3 linked regions of the Stegostoma tigrinum genome follow. The protein of the gene in region 3 purifies or fractionates together with the protein of the main gene of each other region. This does not show direct contact. Links are inferred from orthologs where the notes say so. Each region holds a gene or a part of one and is shown on either strand. Other genes may lie near its edges. The genes, in order: endog, wdr76 and dnaja2a.

Region 1 (3,750 bases), on a different chromosome or scaffold from region 3:
TCATCTCTTAAAGAAAATTATCCCTGGGCAATGTGCTGCTCTGCCTGTGATCGGCTAACTCAGGGTGGACCAGGAAATGACACAGGGACTGTGGAGACCAGAGAAACAGCTTCACCTCTAAGCCATATGAAGATTTTTGTTGAAATTTTCTGAATTAATGCCGAGTTTCAGTGATGGTTCTGACTTAACCTGACAGATAGATGGGTCATACCTTGGCAAGTATAGGGGTCCAGTGCAGACATACACATTCTTGTTGTACTTGGTCAGGCTCCTACAGTATTTCTCCAAGTTGTTCCAGGCATTTTGATTTAAATTAGGATCCTAGAAGTGAAAATAAAGCACAATAAGTACAAATTAGGAACAAAAACAAAGCTGCTGGAAAAGCTCAGAATGTCCGGCAGCATCAGTGAAGATAAAAACAGAGTTAACATTTTTTGTACTTCCTCAGAAGTACAAATTAATGCTGAAGTAAACATGATTTATAGACATACATTGCTTTGTAGTATAATGACAGGTTCTCATTACATCATAACATGATGCCAATGACATTGGGATAATATCCAGGTTGGGGCTGGCAAGTAACATTTGTGCCACACAAATGCCAGACAATGACCATCTTCAGCAAGAGAGAATTTAACCATCATCCCTTGACATTTAATGGCACTATTAACATCCTGGGGTGGAGCATTACCACTGATCAATAATTTAACTGGGCCGTCTACACAAACACTTTGTCTACAAAAACAGAACAGAACCTGGAAATTCTGATGCGAGTAACTCCCCTCCTGTCTCCCCAAATCCAGTCCACAAGGCACAAGTCGGGAGTGTGATGGAATACTCCCCAACTGCCTGGATGAGTCAAGCTCCAGCAATACTCAAGAAACCCAACACCATCCAGGACAAGTCAGCCCAGTACACTGGTACCCCATCCACCACCTTCAACTCTCACAACCAAAGCACAGTGTCAGCACAAGATGTACAGTAGTAGCTTACTAAGGCTCATCCAACAGCATTGTCCAAACTCACAACCACTTCTATCTAGAAGGACAAGAGCTGCAGATAGACAGGTGCACTTCTCCTGCACGCCAGTCACCGTCCTAACCTGGAAATATGATGCCTGTTCCTTAAGTGTTGCTGAGTCAAAGTCCTGGAACTCCCTCCTTAACAGTATTGCAAGGATCCCTACACCCCAAGGACTGCAGCGATTCAAAACAGCAGTTTGCTCCCACCTTCTCTACAGCAATTAGGAATGGGAAATAACTGCTGACCCTGTCAGCGATGCCCTCATCCCATGAATAAATTTTAAAAAAGACAATTAATCATTCCCTCCACTGATGCTGCCAGATATGCTGAGCTTTTGCAGCAATTTCCGGGGATTTGTTTTCATTTCTCATTCACAGCATCAGCAGTTTTTTTTTGGAATCCACCCTGGTAATTTCCCACAGCCCTGCAAAATCTTTCCGCTGCTTGGTGGCACAGTGGCCCAGTGGTTAGCACCACTGCTTCACAGCACCAGGGACCTGGGTTCGATTCCCGCCTCGAGCGACTGTCTGCGTGGAGTTTGCACATTCTCCCCGTGTCTGCGTGGGTTTCCTCCGGGTGCTCCGGTTTCCTCCCACAGTCCAAAGATGTGCTGGGTTCGCCATGTTAAATGTCCCCACAGTGTGCAGGTTAGGGTGGGCTGCCTGCACTATTCAGGGATGAGTGGTGTAGTGGGAACAGGGTCTGGGTGGGATGCTCTGAAGGTCAGTGTGGACTCGTGGGGCCGAAAGGCCTGTTTCTGCGCTGTGGAGATTCTATGACTTCTCCCACACACGTTCTAAGGAAGGGTTACCAGACCCGAAAGGTTAACTCTTATTTTTCCTTCACAGATGCTGCCAGACCCGCTGAGCTTTTCCAGCAACTTTGTTGTTGTTCCTGATTTACAGCATCCGCAGTTCTTTCGGATTTTATTCCCTGCCCCATTTACCAGTGGCACATGTCACTAGTTCAGAACCCGGGCACTTTCCAGGGGCAGCACAATGGCCTGAAATATAGAGACGGAAACCTGCGGCACCACGTTGCTGAGGTAGAAGGTGTCGTCCATGCACTTCTGGCTGTGGCGGTGGTTAGCGGCGGCGGCGAGGTGACCCCGGTCGAAGCCGCTGCCCTTGAAGTCGCTGTTGCGGGCCCGGTGATACTCGTGAACCGAGTCGTCCTCTCGGAACTCGCAGCGCCCGCGCTCCGAGCCCTTCCGCGCCAGGCGCCCGGCCTCCAGCTGCTCCAGGACCCAGGAGGCGTTCCGGGTCCGGGGGTCGTAGGCCAACACGTAGGACTCCCGGCTCCGGAGCTGGGACACCGCCGGGAAGCCGAACTTAACGACCTCCGGCGCCGCTGCCGAACCTGACAGCGCCGGGGGTCCGCTCTCGGCCGCCAAGCCCGGGATCACCGGGAAGCCGCTGAGCGGATCCACTCGGTTCCGGTGGATCCCGAGGGTCAGGCCCAGGCCAGTGCCAGCGGCCAAGGAGACTCCGGCCAGCAGCCAGCGGGAGCTCAGCAGCCTCCGCATGTCAGAGCCGAGGGGGAAATTGAAACCGCCCCGTGTATCAACTGGAACTTTGTTACTTTGTCGCCACAAGTTGCGCCCAAAATGTAACCAGGGCTGGGGCTAACGTGCACCAGCCACCCTCAGCTCAAAGGCAGAAATAACCCGTGAATGCTGGAAAGCAGATGCCAAAACATTTAGAAACATGCAGCAGGGCAGGCCCACAAACAAAAAATGTTGCTGGAAAAGCTCAGCAGCAGAAAACAGAGATAACACTTCGAGTGCGGTCACCCTTCCTCAGAACCGACTAGCAGTACAGGCACTTCAGCCCACAATGTTGTGCCGACCTGCTATCCTACTCTACAAACCTGCATACCTTACATTTTACTACCATCCAGGTGCCTGCCCAAGAGTCGCTTACATGTCCCTCGTGTACCTGACTCCACTACCACTGCCGGCAGTGCACTCCACACACGCACCACTCTCTGTATGAAGAACCTATCTCTGACATCCCTATCTATACCTTCCTCCAATCTCCTTAAAATTATGCCCCCTTGTAATACTCATTTTTGCCCGGGGAAAAGTCTCTGACTATCCACTCTATCTATGCCTGTCATCATCTTGTACACTTCGATCAAGCCACCTCTCATCCTTCGTCGCTCCAATGAAAAAAGCCCTAACTCACTCAATCTTTCCTCATAAGACCTGCCCTCCCATCCAGGCAACATCCTGGTAAATCTCCTCTGCACCCCCTCTAAAGCTTCCACATCCTTCCTATAATTAGGCAACCAGAACTGAACACAACAATCTATGTGTGGACTAACCAGGGTTTTATAGACCTGCAGCATAACCTCACGGCTCTTAAACTCAATTCCCCCGCCAATGAAAGCCAACACGCCATTCGCCTTCTTTACAACCCTATCAACTTGGTAGCAACTTTGAGGGATCTATGGACATGGACCCCAAGATCCCTCTGTTCCTGCTCCGAGAATCCTGCCATTAACCCTGTATTCTCCATTCAAATTTGACCTTCCAAAATGAATCACTTCACACTTTTCCAGATTGAATTCCATCTGTTACTTCTTTGCCCAGCTCTGCATCCTATAAATGTCCCAATGTAACCTACAACAGCCAGTCCACAACTCCACCAACCTTCATGTCATTGGCAAACTTACTAACCCATCCTTCCACCTCCTCATCCAAGTCATTTATAAAGATCACAAAGA
Region 2 (3,750 bases), on a different chromosome or scaffold from region 3:
GAGTTTGCTGCTTAAAAAGAAAGGTTTCCTCATTCTGTCTTGCATTCTTTCATCAAGTACCTTGACGTCTCGGTTTATTGACATCCCTCCCACTGGAAACAGTTTTCCTTCATTTAGTCTACATCAGTCTTTGAGATGTGGTACACCACTATCCAGGACAGCAAACTGTCTGAAGCATTGCTCCAAATCCTAGAAAACCATTGGTCACCCAGGTGTGGTTTTGAGCAGTCATGCTGACTGAACCACTTCCTGAGAGACAATAAATCTTGTGTTTGATTGACTTAAATCATAAGCAGAACCAACTCAGCTCAACAGCCTGGTGATAAACAGCAATAATGAAACAGAGGATAGTGGCAGACGGTAGCTGGTCTTGAGCTGCTGCTGTCCATTAATTTACCTGCAGCATATTCAAAGATGCAAAGAACCGGGCATTTTCCTGAATGTTTTTCAGTCGCTTCTTCTCATACACTGACAGCTCCTCAGATTTTCGATGAAACTAAAACAAAAAACATAACATTGACAGGTACAAACTCCTCATTTGAATAGATTCCTGTGCACTCACTATCTCAACAATCTCGGTCCATCTGTTCAACAGCAACAACTCGGTGCCATTAGAGGGACAGTGGCAAGGAGTTGGAAAGCATGGTCCTCTCAGACAAAAGCAGTTGCTCTAAAGAGAAAGACAAAGATGCACTGCAGAAATACATTTGCACATCAATGAATTAACCTCTCAGTTTTCCCATTTATGGAAGCTGGTCAAACTTGGATCATCAGTTGTACACTTAAACAAGGCAAAGCAATTCACAATACGAAAACCCATAGTGTAATAGGAATAAAACAAAAGTCAGAAAGCTTAAAGACTTAAAAACAGAAATTGCTGGAGAAACTTGGCAGGTCTGGTGGCATATGTGGAGAGAAAGCACAGTTAATATTTCAGATCCAGGTACCCTTCTTCAGAAGTCAGATGCTGCCAGACCTGCCGAGTTTCTCCAGCTATTTGTTTTGGATTTCCAGCATCCCCTATTCTTTCAGTTTAAAGCCTTGTTTGATGTTACTCCAATTACCCCAAATAATGTAAAATCATAGAATCTAATGGCATAGGTGGTTATTTGGGACTTTGTACCTGAACAGACTCTTTGAATTATTAATTAGACTGAAGTAATTAGTTGAGTGATCAACTCTCAGGATATAAATAAGGAAGACTCGGCTCAGGTAGAGAAGCGGTTGTGTCTCTAGCTCTGTGTTAGAAAGTCCATAATAAAGCGCCATCTTCCCCAAACATGTTTCATAATAGGTTCGTACAGATTGCTTTAAAATATCTATAAACTATGGCACACTTTTCATTACAGATGGTTGGTTAATGGCAAACCACAGTGAAGCCCCTCTCCTCCCCACTGCTCTCACATGGACCGTGACCGCACTGCGCACAAACACTAAACATACAGGACCAGCACAGGTGGGAGCCTCCCGCTCGCTATCGGAGACAGAGTCCTGGGAGTCAACAAATCGTGACGACACGCAAAAATTATTGGTAAAATCTTATTAGATATTCGTCCCACTCATCATACTTGGACAATTAATTAATTGTCCAAGTACAAAAGTAACTTGCATTTGTATAAAAGGCCAGATGGACTTGGTTAAAGCTGTAGGTTGCTATTCAGTCTTAAAAAGTGGAGGTGAAAACACATATAGCTACAAGAGAGATGTTAAACTAACAGTTAACAACTTCTAATTTCTTACCGCCATAGGAAACTCATCGTCAGCGCTGAAGCCATCCGAGTCACTCTGCTCTGAGGTGCTCATGCCGGTCTCTGCAGGGCTTGTTGGCCCAGAAGAGGTGCCCTCCTCAGCGGCTGGCATTTGCTGCTGGTCAGGCCCGGCCGGGGTCATCGCCGTGTTTGATCGCCGGGGCGGGGGCTTCTTGTCCGGGTCCTCTCCTCCTCCGGGCCCGGGGAAGGCCGCTTCGAGCCGCCGCTTTCGGTTTCCCGAGGCCGCTGCTCGCGGCTGCTGCCCAAGTGCAGTGTCCTCAACCCTGGGCTTCATGGCCCGGAGGGAAATGCGGTCAATTTTCTGGTTTCAAATGGAAAAAAGTCGGCACCGAGCGGCCACTTCCGGGGGAGCTGTAACTTTTCAGTCCTTACATAAAATGTTACATAAATTGTTACATTTCCCGCGCTCCGCCTCCTGCTGCCGGAGATAGGACACTTTCACATCCGCCATCTTAGAAACCGCAATGCCTCCCGGGATACCTAGCTCACCTGAAAAGCGGCTGGAGAAGATTGAAACGACCAAACTCTGCAATTAACAGTGAAATAAAACAAAGAAGTGCGAATGAAGATCTGAAACAGAAACAAAACTTGTTTGAGAAACTCAGCAGGTGTGGCGGCATCTGTAGAGAGAAAGAGTTCGTGTTTCAAGTCCAGTGAGCCTTGTTTGGATCAGGCACGCACTGCCCCAAAAACCAATGGAAAGCAGGTTGTAAAGAAACTTTTACATAGAAATTACTTGATACGAAATAATTTGCACACTAGTTAAGAGAAAAAGGTAGTGAAACTTATCTGATAGCCCTTTTTAAGAGGCAGAACAAGGGATGATGTGAATCAGCTCCTTCTGTGCTTTTGTTGTTGTAGGATATTCTACATTGGTTGGGACAAATAAATCAATCCTCAACAACCCGTTTGTGTTCAATGTTTAAAATACAGTTGGGTAATGTTAGCTGTCACAAAGATAGCTAAAACTTCTAATTTTCAGAAAAACGTAATGTTATCATCCATTCTATTCAGTCTTGGTATTGAAGTGTAGTCACGAGTTATCTTTATTAAATTCATAAAGGGTTAATTTAGTTGTCTAAATCTGCGGTGCTTTGATTTGAGGATGATACTTACTCAAGGTTGCAGGTTTTTGTCATGAATCTTGGGTGAGACTGAGCAGGCCAATTCCGATGTTTGGGTGCAGAGCAAGATGTGCCACAGTAACAGAAGCACAGTTTCAGGATTTGCTCCCTTTTCTGTCATTCTCTGCCTTCAGTGTGTGTCATTTGGACTCACTTTCCTCTTAACATAAGTTGTAAAACTAGATGTAGGCCATTCAGCCCATTGGGTCCACTCCACAAATCAATGAAAACATGATTGTTCTGATAATCTTTACCTCCACTTTCTTGCCTTCTAGCCATAAATCTAGATGCCCCTAATGATTATAAAGCCGTCTCTCTCAGCCATGATCTATTTAGTGAAACATCTTCTACAGCACTGTGTGATAAAGAATTCCATTGATGCATTATCCTCCAAGAAAAAATCCTCATGTGCTAAATGGGCAATTCCTTACTCTCAAATCATGTGCTGTGTTCATAGAGTCCCTTATTAAGGGGAAACAGCCACTCAGCATCTAGTCTGTCATCTCCTAAGATTCTTGAGTTCCAATGAGGTATCCCCCTCAGTTTTCTACACCTAGTAAGTATAAGCCCAACCTACTTAACCTCTCCTCAAAATCCCTCTACCTGGCATCAAGTCGATTTTCTCCAGACAACCTCCACTGCTAGTATATCTTTCCTCAGATAAAAGACCCAAAACTGTTCACAGTATTCCAGCTATAGTCCAATGAGGTCAGAAATGGGGATGTTTGCTGGTGACCAAACACAAAAATTACACTTCTTTTCCCCTTTGAAATACAAATCACCATTACATTCACATTCCCTCTTCCCATTAGAAACTGGACGCTATCATTTTGAGATTCCCTTCCATGCTGAGCTTC
Region 3 (3,750 bases):
ACTGTCACATTATTTTATTCCATCCTCTCTTTTTAAAAATAGAGACAAACAATGAAATGCATTCACAAATATGTTGAACTAAATTTAAATGTACAGCATGCAAATCTCTCCTTTTGCTTTGTTTCAAACCCTTCCAGCGCTACAAGCTTTAGTATACCGTAACAGTCCCAGACTCCGGGGCTTTGCACAAAAACAAATTTTTACAAGATAACTGACAGCAATGCGACTTAATGGCCATGGAGACCACAAGAGCAGCTCCTTAGACTAGGCCAGTCAAAGTCTCAAAGTAGTAAGCAGTAGCTCTTGCCAAATCCCCACACCCGCCCACCAAAACAAAATTGAATAAATCGTTTCACAATTAATTTGACATTTCCATGAATTAGTTAGGTCAGCACAAGAGCAGCCTCAAATTTTCAGGGCAACATTCAGCTGTCATTACTTAAGGTAACAAACTGCCATGACCTAATGTTCAATTGCCCTTTTGTTACTTTGAAATATATAGCACAGTAGCTCAGCACTTAGTATGGCAGCCTTACAGCACCAGGGATCCAGGTTCAATTCTACCCTTGGGTGACTGTATGGAGTTTGCACATTCTCCCCATGTCTGTGGGGTTTCCTCCAGGGGCTCTGGTTTCACCCCACAGTTCAAAGATATGCAAACTAGGTAGATTGGCCATGCTAAATTGCCCATTAAGCCCAGGGGTGTGCAGGTGAAGTAGGTTAGCCATGCGATATGCAGGGTTACAGGTAGGGAGATCAGTCTGGGCGGGATGCTATTTGGAGGGTTGGCGTGGTCTTGATGGGCTAAATGGCTGACTTCCACAGTGTAGGGATTCCATGATTCTAAATACCAATTCTGCATAGGACACTAAATGATTAAAGGATGCCCAAGGTAGGTTTTTCTTTCTTTCAAGAGCAAGGTACGAAATATACTCAAAACATCTCAGTTCAGAACGCAAGAAAGCTAATACCTGCAATTCCACGTTTCCAAACGATATGGAGACAGATCCAAACTATAAGAACGGCGAATGCTGTATATCCGAAACAAAAACAAATTGCTGAAGAAAGTCGACAGGGTGAAGAAAAGCTCACTGGATCCCAAACTTTAACTCGCCATTCGCGCCACACATGCCGCTGGGCCTGAGTTTCTTCAGCAATTTCTGTTTTTGTCCCAGACAGATCAATATGCGCGTAGTTTCCTAAACTCCCTCAGCTAACAGTAACGAAAATTACCGATCATCGCTTGGAGCAATATTATGATGTCTTTCAAATCATTCAAGAACATAATGACATATTTACACAACAAACGAAAGTGCGACTTCAAATACTGGTCTGCTCGGTTTGATCCACTTTGTATCTATGATTCACCTCGCAGAAATACAACTTACTTGCACTTGAGCTCTCCGGTCGCGACGGAAGACATTAACCAGAGCCTTTCTAGATCACAGCCCGGCTAATTTTATCAGCAACATTTCAAACACTTCCGCCGTCACCATCACTTCCCTCCTGAAAGGCCTCACTAATGTCCCAGGCGCTGCGGTAGCGGTCAAAGATAGGCCCCCGGTCGGGGGGAATGGTGGTTGCAGTAACACAAAATGGTGTCGCGGTCAATGAAGCGCCACCGGGTGTTTCCGAATCCCAGGCGTGCTACTGCTCGGAAGGGGAGGGGAAACGCTAGCGGACGCCGGTGACAGCAGCGCCGGCAATACCAACACCCAGACCACCCCCCCGCCCCACCTCCTTCACGGCTCGCTGACCCAACCCCCCCAACCACCTCTCCAATCCCTCAAAAGGGCGGCAGGTGAGGCGGCCCCGCTCTGCTGATAGCAACCACACCGAAAACGGCCAGATCCTTGGTTCATTCCTGTTAAATTCGCTGAACTTCGGTTTCTCCCCCAACTCCACTTCGTCTACCCACAACACACCAACAATCCAGGCAGCGGCCTAGCCGGTCAGGCTTCAGGCTGTGCGCTGTTTCCTTAAAATTTTGCCGAAAGGCACTGGCTAAGGAGGAGAGTATTGTTTTCCATCTCGATTCGTGCGTGTCACCGGCGGGCCGTGACTCACCTTTTTGAGTTCGTTTTCCGTAGCTCCGGAGCTAACTCCGAGGATGTCGTAAAGCTTTGTGTCCACTACCGACGCCATCGTGACAGAGAGGGAGGAAGAAGCTCGAGCACCGGCCGCAAGCTGGCAGGCTCCGGAAGTGACGTCTGACCCTGGCCTCACATAGAGCGCGCTGACGTCACCGCCGCGCGGCAAAGCGGGGGAGGGGGCGGGGCCTGGAGACGTTACGCCACAGACGCTAGAAGTCAGGGTCTATTGGTGTGATGCTTCAAAAGCGCAGCAGGTCCGGTAGTGTCTGAGAGGCAGCAAAGGCGAATGTGTGAACTGAAACCCTTCGTTCGAGACTGGGGTGGGGAGAGGGTGGCAGGTGGAATTTTTAAAAAAATTCATTCACAGAATGAGGGTATCGCTGGTTAGGCAGTATTTATTGCCCACTCCTAATTGCCTAGAAGGCGGTCAAGAGTCAACCGCATTGCTGTGGTCTAGAGTCACGTGTAGGCCAGACCAGGTAAGGATGGCAGTTTCCAGATGTGTTTTTCCTGACTATCAGCAATGGATTCATGGTCATCATTAGACTCTTAATTCCAGAATTTTTTTTTTATTGAAGTCAAGTTCCACCAACTGCCCTGGTGGGACTTGAACCCTGATCCATTATCTGGGTCTCTGGATTAACAGTCCAGCAATAATACTACTAGGCCATTGTTTCCCCAGTACGACAGGTAGTGGGTTACAGTGATTGGTCAATGTGAAGGGTGAAGTGTTTAGGTGAGTAGGAAGATGGTCAGGTCAGGGAGGTGAGGAGGAGGGCTAGGACATGGGATAAGGCTGGGAGATAGATGGACTTTGAAGGTGGTGAAGTCAATGCTGAGGCCTCACGGTGACCTATGTTTGGTGTGCAATAACTGCACCTCCCAGTTGTGAACCATTTCAACTCCCTCTTGCATACTGAGATGACATGTCCATCCTGGGCCTCCTGCAGTGCTACAACGATGCTGCCTGAAGATTGCAGGAACAGCAACTCATATTCCACCTGGGAACCCTGCAAACCAATAGTATCAATGTGGATTTCACAAGCTTCAAAATCTCCCCCCCGGCATCCCAAAACCAGCCCAGCTCGTCCCTGCCCCCCCCCCCCCAACCTGTTCTTCCTCTCACTTATCCCCTCCTCCCACCTCAAACCACACCTTCATTTCTTTCTTACTAACCTCATCCTGCCCCCTTGACCTGCCCGTCCTCCCCAGACTGTCCTATCCCCTCCCTACCTCTCCACCTACATTCCACTCTATAGGTGCCATCCCTGCCCCTTTAACTTGTCTGCTTTTTCTCCTCTATCCATCTTCGATCTGCCTCCCCCCTCTCTATTTCAGAACCCCCTCGCCATCCTCCTTTTCTGATGTAGGGTCTAGGCTGGAAATGTCAGCTTTTGTGCTCCTAAGATGCTGCTTGGCCTGCTGTGTTCATCCAGCTCTACACTTTATTATCTCAATGCTGAGGCCATTGGGCTTTAAGCTCCCAAGGTGAAATATCAGGTGTTGTCCCTCCAGTTTGGTTTTTGACCTCTCTCTGACAGTGGAGAGAGCCAAGGTGGATATCTCTAAGGGGACTGGGAGTGGGAATTAACGTGGATGGCAACAGGAAGGTCGACTTGGTTGATGCATTCAGAGTGCAGATGCTCCAAAAACTGGT

Evidence for each region.
Region 1: the proteins of dnaja2a (region 3) and endog purify together in Homo sapiens (affinity purification with mass spectrometry; 3 studies listed by BioGRID and IntAct, with this or other methods). This does not show direct contact. The link is inferred for Stegostoma tigrinum from reciprocal best matches to the Homo sapiens genes DNAJA2 and ENDOG.
Region 2: the proteins of dnaja2a (region 3) and wdr76 purify together in Homo sapiens (affinity purification with mass spectrometry; 3 studies listed by BioGRID and IntAct, with this or other methods). This does not show direct contact. The link is inferred for Stegostoma tigrinum from reciprocal best matches to the Homo sapiens genes DNAJA2 and WDR76.

Annotation. Positions count from the first base shown.
Region 1 is NC_081382.1:42,357,231-42,360,980, reverse strand, and holds the start of endog (endonuclease G, mitochondrial), read right to left. Parts: upstream 2,806-3,750; 5' UTR 2,549-2,805; coding exon 2,048-2,548; intron 322-2,047; coding exon 212-321; intron 1-211. UniProt on the Homo sapiens protein: Endonuclease that preferentially catalyzes the cleavage of double-stranded 5-hydroxymethylcytosine (5hmC)-modified DNA.
Region 2 is NC_081386.1:34,103,848-34,107,597, forward strand, and holds the start of wdr76 (WD repeat-containing protein 76), read right to left. Parts: upstream 2,250-3,750; 5' UTR 2,044-2,249; coding exon 1,741-2,043; intron 497-1,740; coding exon 398-496; intron 1-397. UniProt on the Homo sapiens protein: Specifically binds 5-hydroxymethylcytosine (5hmC), suggesting that it acts as a specific reader of 5hmC.
Region 3 is NC_081369.1:30,468,404-30,472,153, reverse strand, and holds the start of dnaja2a (dnaJ homolog subfamily A member 2a), read right to left. Parts: upstream 2,212-3,750; 5' UTR 2,146-2,211; coding exon 2,068-2,145; intron 1-2,067. UniProt on the Homo sapiens protein: Co-chaperone of Hsc70. Stimulates ATP hydrolysis and the folding of unfolded proteins mediated by HSPA1A/B (in vitro).